Linked DNA regions of Drosophila melanogaster. Changing the gene in region 2 together with the main gene of any one other region gives a genetic interaction. Each region holds a gene or a part of one and is shown on either strand. Other genes may lie near its edges.

What was found.
Region 1: of Keap1 (region 2) and cnc, changing one suppresses a phenotype caused by changing the other (phenotypic suppression), as found in Drosophila melanogaster (one study listed by BioGRID).
Region 3: of Keap1 (region 2) and Cln3, changing one suppresses a phenotype caused by changing the other (phenotypic suppression), as found in Drosophila melanogaster (one study listed by BioGRID).

Annotation. Positions count from the first base shown.
Region 1 is NT_033777.3:23,220,358-23,224,115, reverse strand, and holds the start of cnc (cap-n-collar), read left to right. Parts: upstream 1-2,154; 5' UTR 2,155-2,270; exon of another isoform or gene 2,271-2,354; intron 2,355-3,219; exon of another isoform or gene 3,220-3,472; 5' UTR 3,473-3,699; intron 3,700-3,758. UniProt on the Drosophila melanogaster protein: Plays a role in posterior cephalic patterning. Probable subunit of a heterodimeric regulatory protein involved in the control of head morphogenesis.
Region 2 is NT_033777.3:17,076,407-17,080,164, forward strand, and holds the start of Keap1 (Keap1), read right to left. Parts: upstream 1,697-3,758; 5' UTR 1,500-1,696; coding exon 1,412-1,499; intron 488-1,411; coding exon 171-487; intron 97-170; coding exon 1-96.
Region 3 is NT_037436.4:17,812,153-17,815,910, forward strand, and holds the start of Cln3 (Cln3), read right to left. Parts: upstream 1,968-3,758; 5' UTR 1,908-1,967; intron 740-1,907; exon of another isoform or gene 644-739; intron 1-643. Other genes in the region: Ir75a (ionotropic receptor 75a), read right to left, coding at 3,510-3,735.

The DNA.
Region 1 (3,758 bases), 6.1 Mb from region 2:
TTCTAGGTGGCCCAATAAAAAACGTATTTGTTTTGAATAGATAATAGATAGATAATATGCTCATATAGAGAAGCAGACCGTTAAAGGTCAAAATGATAGCTGTTATGAAAAAGAGCAAATAAATTATAATATTGATTAGTCTACACAATTAAGTACATTTCTTATAAATAGAAATGTCATTTAAAATTGCTAACACCATAGATTTTAATAGTTAAAGAAGAAAAGATTAACAAATAAGTACGAATCTTTTGACCAATTTCTATAAAGAACCTGTCGATTAAATTTATAGCAGGGACTCATGGCTGATTCCCAAAATTTAGAAGTGCGACCAATTTAATTTATTTTATGATTCATTTATTGTCCCAATCTAATCGAAAAATTCCCCCTGTGGAACATTGGCTGATGTAATTTGCATTCTTCCAAGGCAGGGCCCACTGTATTGTGTACAATGGAGAAATCCCTCTATGGTTACTGATACCTAATACTTTGTTCCCAAATCAATTGATAGATAATGAATGCCGTTTCCACGCGGTTATCTTTCTGGATTCTCGTGGGAGTTGATATTGTTGTTGGGCATCCACTGTACTTATCTACATTTGAATTTGTGTGAATGTGTGTAATTTTCTCAATAAATGGCAAATAAAACAAACCATTAGGTTGGCTATATCTCATTTTTGAATTCCACCCGTCGAAGTTCGCTTATCAGTTTTTATAGCTCATTTACAGTGAAAGTTCGATAAAGTTACTAGCAGGGAATTCGAAGAAATTAAAAATAAAATCACACGAGTATGGCTACTAAAATATATATGAATTTATTATATCTTTGATCTGTCACATTGATCAAAATGAGTAAAAACACATTTTCTTATACGCCGAAAACAAACTGTTTATATTTAATGTCGGAACAGAATTATTAAGTTCAAAACCACCATCCTAAAAAAAAGCCTAGTCAACCTAGTGACCCATCCTTATCTGTGTGTTCGCTTTCATTCCAGTTGACATATTGACTCATCACCATTTGTGCCAGCTGATAAGCAATAATGATCGACTTAGAGGATCTGCCTCGGCTGCAATCCTTGTCCCCGGCGAAGGACATCGAATATACCTACCACCAGACCCAATTGCAGCTGAATCCGAAGAAGAAGGTCACCGTCCGGGTGCCCATTGGACCACCCTCGAAGTTGAGTAAGCTGATTAAGCCCACGGTGGCTTCCACGCCCGCTGTACTGGCCAAGCCAACGCCATCCATCACCCAATCGACGACGCCAGGTAACGCCAAGACCAACATTTGGAAAGGTGGCTTCCATTTTACCAATCTGGTAAGTATTGAAAGGCTTCGGTGTTAATTACTTTATCCAAATGCCAGCACAAATGTTCCCAGTTCAGAACGCAATATATCTATAAATTACCCCCATCAATCTAAATTAATTTTTATGAGCAGGTCTTTTAGATAGATTGATAGTCTTCTAGCTATATTTTGAATTACACGTTCTGAATAGTGTGGCTATCTGTTTTATTGAGCAAGTCTAATACAAATGTATCCATTTGTGATATCAATAGCTAACGGAAGTTATTGTTAAGATATTTGTATTTTTGCATGCATGTAGAATATCAATATCAATATCATGAAAAAAAATTATTTTAAATTAATATTAAGGAAATATAAAACTATATATATCCCTTTATTTTTAATTTTAATACAAATTTCAACTTTGTTATGTAGAACTAGTTAAAAAAATGACTAATGCAAATTAACTGAAAAATTTGCATGGACACGTGTCAAAAGCTTATAAGCTTACACCATATCTACATAAAATTGCAATAGCCACCATGTCTACATAAGTTACTCTTAGGGAAAATATAAATATGTTCTTTATATTCTTAAGATATTCTTTCTAAAAACTAAATCTAGAAATAAAAGGTAGGTAATAAAGATACATTTGTAACCGAAATCTACATTTCTAGCTCTCCTTTAAAAAGCTCTTTCTGTCACTGTTAGTTTAAGCTACATTTAACATTTCTGTTAAAAGCACAATGTATTATGGTGAGACCGCACTTGGCGGCCCCGAAAAAAACCGCAAAAGCACAAAACTCAACAAAATCGTCTGCAAAGAGCCTCAACTGGGCACACTTGATAAAAGCACCGCGCTGGACAGACGTTTTTTGCCTCAAATGTTTTGAGGCCGCAATCGAAAATCGCGACTGATTTCGACGGCGGAGAAATTGCCAAACGCGGCGTAACAAACAAAACACGTTTTCAAGCTCACCACGTAGGTACGGCGGTTGGCGAAAGAGAGTAGCAAAGCGGACGCGACAATAATTTGCCAAATAACAGTGAAAGAAGACGCGTAAAGGTGCGAAGTACACGCCGCTTAAATTGTGTGTGTGTGTGTGTGCGTGTCTGGCTGCGTGTGCTTGTGTGCCGGAACAACAAATGAAAAAGTTTCGGTTGTGCGTTTAAGAACTACAGTTGCGAAATGTTGCATGCCCCACTAAATAAGTGCAACTCATTGTGTGGTGGTGGTACTGTCGGTGGGGGTGGTGGGTTAAAGGCAATCAAAACAACAACGACCAACAGGCTAGCAACAACAGTTATTCAGCAATCGCCCCCTCTCGCTCTCGCGCTCAGTCTCCCTCTCTCGCTCCCTCTCCACCGCTCAGCTGACAGAATGCAATCGAGAAAAACATCGAGTTAGAAAGAATAGGGAACGAAAAGGAACTAGCAATTTGATAAATAATTTGTTGATGCAAAGTGCAGAGTGAATGTTGAAATGCTGCCGTTGCCGGTTATTCTCTGCTCATTCTCGAAGCTTCCATATTTCATTTTTCCTATTTGTTTTGCTCTCCGCGATTCTCAGCAAAAAATTAAATCGTTTTGCATTTAATTAATTGCATTAATTGTGGGCACAGACCGAATTGGAATTGGCAAGAAAAAACAGCAGTTGTATGCTTCAACGTGTGCGTGTCTTTTTTTTTGGTGTGTGAGTCAGAGAGAGACGAGAATCGGGCGATAAAAGAAAACAAAGAAATACAAAGCAATGTGGAGGCAAAACACATGCAAATATTAGGCAGTGTAAAAACAACAAACGAAGCGAAAATATTATTGTTTTAACCCTTGATGGACTTGACAATTTTTTGTACCTTAACGTAGTTAAATAATTTTACAGCTGTCTTGAAAATCTTAACATACAAATGACTTCAAATTCTAATTTGACGTAGGTCCAATATAGGGTTAACAAATAAGTGACGATTTCACCACGTAAAACGGCACCACCACCACACACACTCTCACACAAAAGTGCGTACCAGACGGCGAGAAAGAAGCACCAGGTGGCACATAATCAAATATCAATTGTTATTAATATTTAATGGCACTTGAATGCAAATTGTCTGCAGAAGAGAAAGTTCAAGGACGCAGACAAGCGAAATATATATTTAAAGTTGTTAAATAAATAAAACGCGTGTTTTCCAGCAATTAAAAGTAAAAATCGTAGAAAGTGAAACATAAACAAATAAGGTCTTGCAGAGCAAAAGAAAAGTGAACGGTAAACAATAAACCATTGTGTGTGCTGCAGGGAAGAAGAAGCAGCGAAGAGGAAAAGAAGATCAAGCAACGGCAACAACAACAAGGAGAACATTTACTGCGCCGCAGCTTTTTTACCGTTGTAGTCGGGTCTCATCATCCAAAAAAAATTTGAGGTGAGTGCACTGCAATACAGCCACAATCACACGCACACCCACACAAGAACCCTCTCTTG
Region 2 (3,758 bases):
GGCCGCGGGCAGGAGTTGGCACACCGTTACCTCGGTCACACGTATTTGGCCGGTGTACATGAAGTAGAGGATGCGTGACATGGCCGTGGGACACACCTGTAACACCGAAACGGACGAACTGTTCATCCATTAAACCAACCAATTAAGGGCCGCGCTTGAGCTCAACTTACCCCTTGGAGCTGGACGCGCGACATCTCCGACTCCTTGAGTCCCCCCGTGAACATGGCCTTGAAGTAGGGCGATGCCGCCGACAGCACCACTTTGTGGGCGGGAAAGAGCTCCTTCTTCACCTCGAGTACCACGTCCGTGAGCATGCCGTGCGAACGCATCATGTACATCATCTTCAGGGCCTCCTTGGCGTAATTGGACATGCAGAAGGTCATGTCATCATCCGTAGCATCGTGATCATCTAGGGTCGAGTGCGCCGATCCGAATCGACCACCGCATGAGATGGAACAACTTTCCGAAGTGTTGCTCATCTCAGCCTCTGGAAAATCGAGGAATAGATCATATTGTAATTCCAGGACATATTTCAGAAAATATTCAATTAATTTTAATTATTTAACAATTAATTTAATAATAATTAATAATTATATTAAATAGTAATTAATTATTATTAATTATTATTAATCTTAAAACCAATACACGCCCTACAGTTGAGCCCTGTAACCCTTGTACCTCGTACCTCATCCATCGCAAATAGATCGACAATCAGCGCGGGCTATTTATTCTATTTTATTATCTAATCTGTTATGAATTTGCAAAAAAATTAAAAATGGCACTTTAAAGAAATCCTCCAAGTGTGAAATGACGTACTATATTATGGATATCCAAGATAACCGAAAGGTTAGATACGACCGACCTTTAATACGTTCTAGAAATTAAAGCGGTCATTTATTTTGTTTTTGAATGCGAATAAGTTGGTAAGTTTATGAGTTGGTAATTTGGTAAATTGGGCTTAAAGATTTATAAGCTCTCGATTAGAAAACTAAGATAAGATTAAGGTAAATTATCTGTTTATTTCAAGAACACTCTTTCGAATGGATACTACATTGCCAACCGGAATTTGCATTGTCAACACAAACCAGTTTCTTTCGCGATAATATTTCAAATGTCTCTAATTATTCAAACGTCCAAATCGAGCAATGCAACCTGGATAAGTGCCGTTTCACTCCATTAATTTTTATCATCTCACATTCAACTACAAGTGACTTCACTGTAGCACAATCTGGAATCGTTTTCGCCAATCATTGTGGGCTGTTTCAGAGAACTTGATTCGCAATGCGCACCGTCATGATCAGTGGTTTCTTTTTTTTTTACCAAAAGCACGCGTAGCGAAAATATCTGGCAAACTTGTTGCGAATTGAACTGTAGACCCAAGGTCAAATCCAGAACTTTAAAAAAAACCAACCTTCTGGGCGGCAGGGGTATCCCTTGTGGTTGGGCATGTCGGAGATGTGGGTCTCATATTGCATGGGCGAGTGCATTTGGGTTTGCATTTTGGCACTAATCTCGGATCGATAGGGATCCTTCACAGCTTCGTTAGTTCGGTAGAGATAGTTTCAATAATCAATAGTTTCGCAAACAAAGACTGAAAGTCCGTGTGAAAATGAAAGCGCGCGATCAGCTGCTTCTCCGCAAATCCGCTCCGGCGATCATGCGTGTGCCGTGGAGAGAGCCCGTCAACTGACTGCCGTGGTCTGCGTCTGCCCAGCCACAGAGCCCACCGAGACTTATCTCTCGCGGGGATGGTGGCGGAGTGGGGGGAGCGTTTCAAAGAGCGTTATCATGCTTACATATGTGTGTGTGTGCACACATGTGCCTGAGTTCTATGTGGCCCTTCCAGGTGAATACACTCCGTGTTGTGGCGATAAAAACTATATAATGCCATGAATGAAACGCACGGCCCGTGGGCGGTTTTTTGGACCGTAACGATGATGCTCACAAATCGTAACCGATGGCAAACATAATTGTTTACCATGTTTACCAGCAACAGGTTTTTGTATGGAGCCTCAGGCTACACAGCGTTTGCAAAAAAATTACGCGTGTCATGCAAGCAGTTAGGAATTTCGTTTTGTTCAAAAGATAGCTAAAATGTGTTCAAAGTCCGTGCCAAATGAACTATTGAATACAATCAAAACAAAAAGCTAAGCTAATTTCGTATGCGCATATCGTGGAATATGTTTAAAAGAGATTACGTCTCTCTATTTTTTATTGCATAGTATTTTAGTCATGATCGGAGTTCTGTCTTAAGGGAATTTCACAACATAAATGGCCATATACACAATATTGTACGGTATATCCGATTAATCATTGTTACCAAGCTCAATTGAAAAGGCAATAAATTTTGAAGTATCAAGTCATGTTCCCAAAACAATTTCAATTTATGAACGCCTTATACACATGACGATAGAAATATTAATATCACTGATACACACTTAAAAAAATTTTTCGCATTAAATGAAGTAACTACAATAATGAAATATTTTTTTTTTTCATTTAATAATATTAAGACACAAAACCCTTTCAAAGATTATCCTTTAATTTTATTATTTATTCTAGAGAAATGTTTACAAAACGTTTAAAATTTATCGTATGTTTTTCTTATCTGAATCACCAAATTAAAACCACTACATATGTACTACACAAATATTTTTGTTTAATCAGATAAGGGCAAAAGGGACTTCCCCCGCCAAAAATCCCATATAAGTATTATGGCGAATCAAACGTACTTTGGAAAATCCACGCCCTTTAATAACATTAGTTCATCAAAGTGCGGCTTTAAATTTCCGCATAAAGTGACGCTGAGTTGGTTGTTGGTAAATGAATGATAAAGGCAAAAACTGGACGAAATAGTGCCGAATCATGCTGAAGAGGCAAAACCTTACACACTGTCACAGTGGTACGTCGGTGTAGGTGAAAACAGCAGCGTAATCAGCACGGATGTTGGGGATGTGTGTTTGTGTGTTTGCAGGTACCGTTGAACTTTGCTTTCACATAAACAAATATTACTCACTTACATTGCTCTCCCTGGGGCGACAGCTGTCACCCTTGCACACACGTACGTACTGTACATACTATTTACATACATACACACACCCGCACTTCCAACGCCATGTGCCAAACAGCTGATAAAGGCCATTGAAACTGAACTCGAAAGAAGGCCACTTAAAACAAACCACTTTGTTGTAAGAGATTACCGCAATGCAGGACAAACATTTACACTTTATCACCAGGGATTTCAAGATCTCACAGATACTTCATATATTTATGTATATAACCACGTAAATCGGCTGGGAAAATACACCGTTAATTTCTCCCTTTGTTTCATTGAGGTTTTCACATGCAGATAAATGTACGATCGTAGACAAATAAAAGGTTTCCCAGCTGGAAACTAAACTATGCGAGGGTCATGCACTTTTTATGCCTTTTTTGCACTTTGTATGTTTTATTTACTGCTACTCACATCTGTATTTATTTATTTTGCCACTACACAACGATTTTTTCTACTCTTCTTCTTAAGGTAAACATGCAAGTGCTGGAAAACGCTCGACACTGAAAGCATGTAATGACAGGAGTTGCCAGATGTCCAACCAGCTGGTGGATATTTATAAAATAAATGGTATACATGATATTAAACCACATTTACAAACAATTTTAATTATTACAACTTTAAAGTTGGTTGTACTGTTTCACTATTCTGATAATTTTTTTTTTTTTTTTTTTACATATAGATGTAGAAATTCCAAGACGTGAAC
Region 3 (3,758 bases), on a different chromosome or scaffold from region 2:
TTAAGTTAACCTTGCAACAAGCCAAACCAATTCAAATAATGTAATCAACAGTTAGCACGAGCCCTGTTAGCCAACAAAGAAAAGGCACGCTAACTGTAAAATAATTATAACAAATTAACTAATTTAATTAATTCAGAGACCAGGCAAATGCTTTTTAGCCGTCCTGCACTTCGTTGGCCACTGACTCATTCAAGAGATTCACTTGATCCATTTGCGCAGTTATGAAGTTGTTGACCCAATTCGCAGTGCACTTTCCTATCCAGTTACTTTTGCTTGCTATCAAAAAATATGATACCCGATACTCAAAATTTATTTCGAAATATCACTGGTAAATTGAGAATGCTAGATCTTGCATATATCTTGAAAAAAAAATTCTGAAGCATAGAGTGCTTAAAGGGATTTTCGTTTTCAAATATAACTTTTTAATCAGTAAATTAATAGATAAAATAATTTTTTTTCCATAAGAAATTTTAAGCCTTTGATATTTAATTTCGCATTTTATGTAATATAATATGTAAAAGGTTGAATTTACAACAAATGTAAAAATGTTTACATAGAGTTAACTTTCTATTGCACTTTATAACTTTTCATAGCACTAATGGGTTCTTCAACTGCTCTTGTTCACTATAAAGTACAACCGTACATCTTGCCACTATTTTTCGGCTTGGTAGTTCTAAGGTTCCGAGAACTGTTGGATACGACGGCGACGACGATTCGCGCTTCGAGGCGATCGGTGAGTGACTGAACCTGTGCGAACCCTCCCAACGGAACGAGAACCAATAACAAGCGGCGACTACAATGGAGCCAAGCGGCTGGGAGCCCAAGTATGAGGTATCACGCGAGTTGCCAGCGGCAGCATAAAAACTAAAACAATTAAAAGATGCAGCAAGTGCCAAAGTGCCGATCAGCAGGTTGATCGTACGTAGATCGCTAGCAGGTAGCACACATTACAGATTACATATATAGTATCATTTAATTCAATTCAATTCGATTTGATTCGATTTGATTCGAGCGGCAAAAGCGGGGGAGTTGAGGTCGGTCAGCGAACGTCACGTTTTTCGAGTTGGCAAGTGCATTCGCATTGGGTTTAGAATACCCCTTCTTCTCAAGAGTGCGAAGATAGCGATAAGATGTTCGAATTTCTCGATGGGGGAAAATCTGCGAACCTTGTGATTCTTTATGGTGGGAAATGCTTATCGGCTAGCGGTCTTTGGCATTCAAAGATCCCAAGCAATCCGATAGTCGAACTGGTATAGATTAGATTATGAAGATATTGTGTCACTACGAAGGGTTCTTAAAGATTTTCCAATACTTTTGAACGCATGTGCTAGCTCTTGATTAATGTATTGAAAACGATCAAGTTAGCAACTGTATTTTGGAGGGTATTTCAAACTTCGTGTTTGTGTTAGCTTTCGTAATTAGCACCTGTTATTGAATAAGTCATAGCTATTTTAATTACGCTTAACTTTAAGTTAGGCAGTTTAATTGCGGATAGCGCTGTTAGCTTTAATTTGTGCTGCCCAATATCAAGTAAGCTCTAATGGTCGTTCCCTCTAAGTTTATTGTTTTTCAACGGGCGCACGTGGCGTATGCGTAATCCGAAAAGTGCTCCTAAGCTCAAAAACACCTGTTTTCTAGTAGAAAGATTTTAAAAAGTAGTATCGATAAATTCACTTGTTTTTTTTTTTTTAAAGTTACACAGTAAACCAAACGGAGGTCATTTAACTCGATGACAAACGGTTCGGCTATGCAAATCACATTTACCCGTTCAACTGGAAATGCTGGCTAATTTTATAACAATTTCATTTGAAACGGAACCCTGAGATACTTTCTACGGCCATAAATCCGGCGTAAAATGCAATAAACATTACTCCCCCGAGTGAATACCAAACACCAGCCGTACGTACACTTTCGAATTATTTCCGGCTGCCACTCAATCCGCTCGAGCAATGAAAATCTACTGAGGACTCGTCGAATACGGGCCTAGATTACAGCCGGACCAGTTGCAATCGACATTATCATTATCGTTAAGTGGCCAGCAGATTAAATTACAGATAAGACGTTCGCAGCATTGGGCCATATAAATCTTAAGATATCACTGGCAATGGCAATTCGTATATGACAGGCTCTGGGGAACAGAAAGGGTAATCAAACTGATGAGGTGATGGCCATAAGCCCGCTTCCCCCTTTTTATCTTTTCCCGTACACTTAAGTCTAATAATCGTACCGGCCAAGAGTTTGGTCATAATAAATTTCTCGGGTATCGTTTTCCCATCCACAATAGCTCCGTTTAAATTAAATCCGTTTCGCGCTCATTTAGCACGTACGGAAACCGCCAAAACCAATTTCACACCGCAGCCGCAAAGCATGGAACACTTTTTACTTGCCACAGGGCTATACATTGCATTTAAAAAAGAGAACATGTTGTTGACAAATTGCAAAATAAAGTGGTTAAGGCTGCTAGGGATAAAAAGGGACACCCGTGTTCGATGTTGTAAATAATAAATAATTCACAATTGCTTGTCAATTTCGAGTCACTCCAAAGTTGTCCTCCCTGCGAAGGGAAAGTAGTCCTTTCATGGCATAAACTATGGCCAAAGCGATGCCCTGTTGACAGCCAGATTGAGTTGACAAATTGTTAAGGCAATTTGTTATAGTAATACTTTGGGAATTCCGGAATGCCAGTGAGTGCTGTTTGGCAAGCAGTTGTGTCAGTTGCATTTTAATGGTCGACTGGGAGTCATTTAAGAACGAAGTTCTTAATACTATTTGCTTGACTTAGGCAAATGTAAAATCTTGAAAAAATATATAATTTACTGCGTATTTGATTAGCAGCCATATAATACCATTTATTTGCTCCTACACCCAATTTAATAATATTTGTGCGAACTCAACTCACTCTTATTTATTGTACAATCAATTTCGATAAAGCTTTGACACGTCCCTTCCCATATTTGTCGCCTCTGGCGATGCGCCATCATTAAAATACCATAAATCATCTCGGGGCAACATGCGATGTCTGCGGTAGGGAAACTACTGATTCCGGTGAAATTCGGGGAAATGCGAAAAACACAACTGTTAACTGTTTCTAATAGGCCGTATTAGGCTCACAATCAGTTATCTAACATTCGCACGTGGCATTGGGGAACAAAGTTTCAATTCGAATGTGGCCGTGCACGAAAATGCAAATAAAATGGCTCCAAGAGAATGAATAAAATCATTGCCAAAAGGGAAAATGGAGTATAAAAAGTAACCGCCAAACACGAAAAGTTTTTAATGCAAATACGAAAATCGCATGGAAACATGGCCACCACGTCCTTTGCAAACCCCTTTATCCATCCCTCCGTTTAACGAGCCGTGCTGCAATTTTCCGGCGCGAAAACAGGAAGTGAGGAAAGCGTCGCCCTGCATAATTTTGCGATGCGAAAAGTTAACGCAAAGTGTTTTTATTTTCTCCTGGGTGCAAATAGAATATAGTTGTTACAGCAGCTTAAAGCGATTTTAAAGCACTACGGGTGAAAGGTGAGATGACGCGTGAAAAAGCGCTTCCAGGCCAGTTCCACCAGCAGGATTACCACGACCAGGATGTCGGCGCAGATCAGCATGAGGAGCAGAGGAGCCACGTACTCCATTCCCACGGTGATGACGAAGTTCTGGGCCACGCAGTGCAGCTTCATGTGCACCCAGTAGCTGCGCTGCTTCCGGTAGACACCAGTTTCCAGGATCCTAAGGAATCTAAAATAATACATACGATTTTA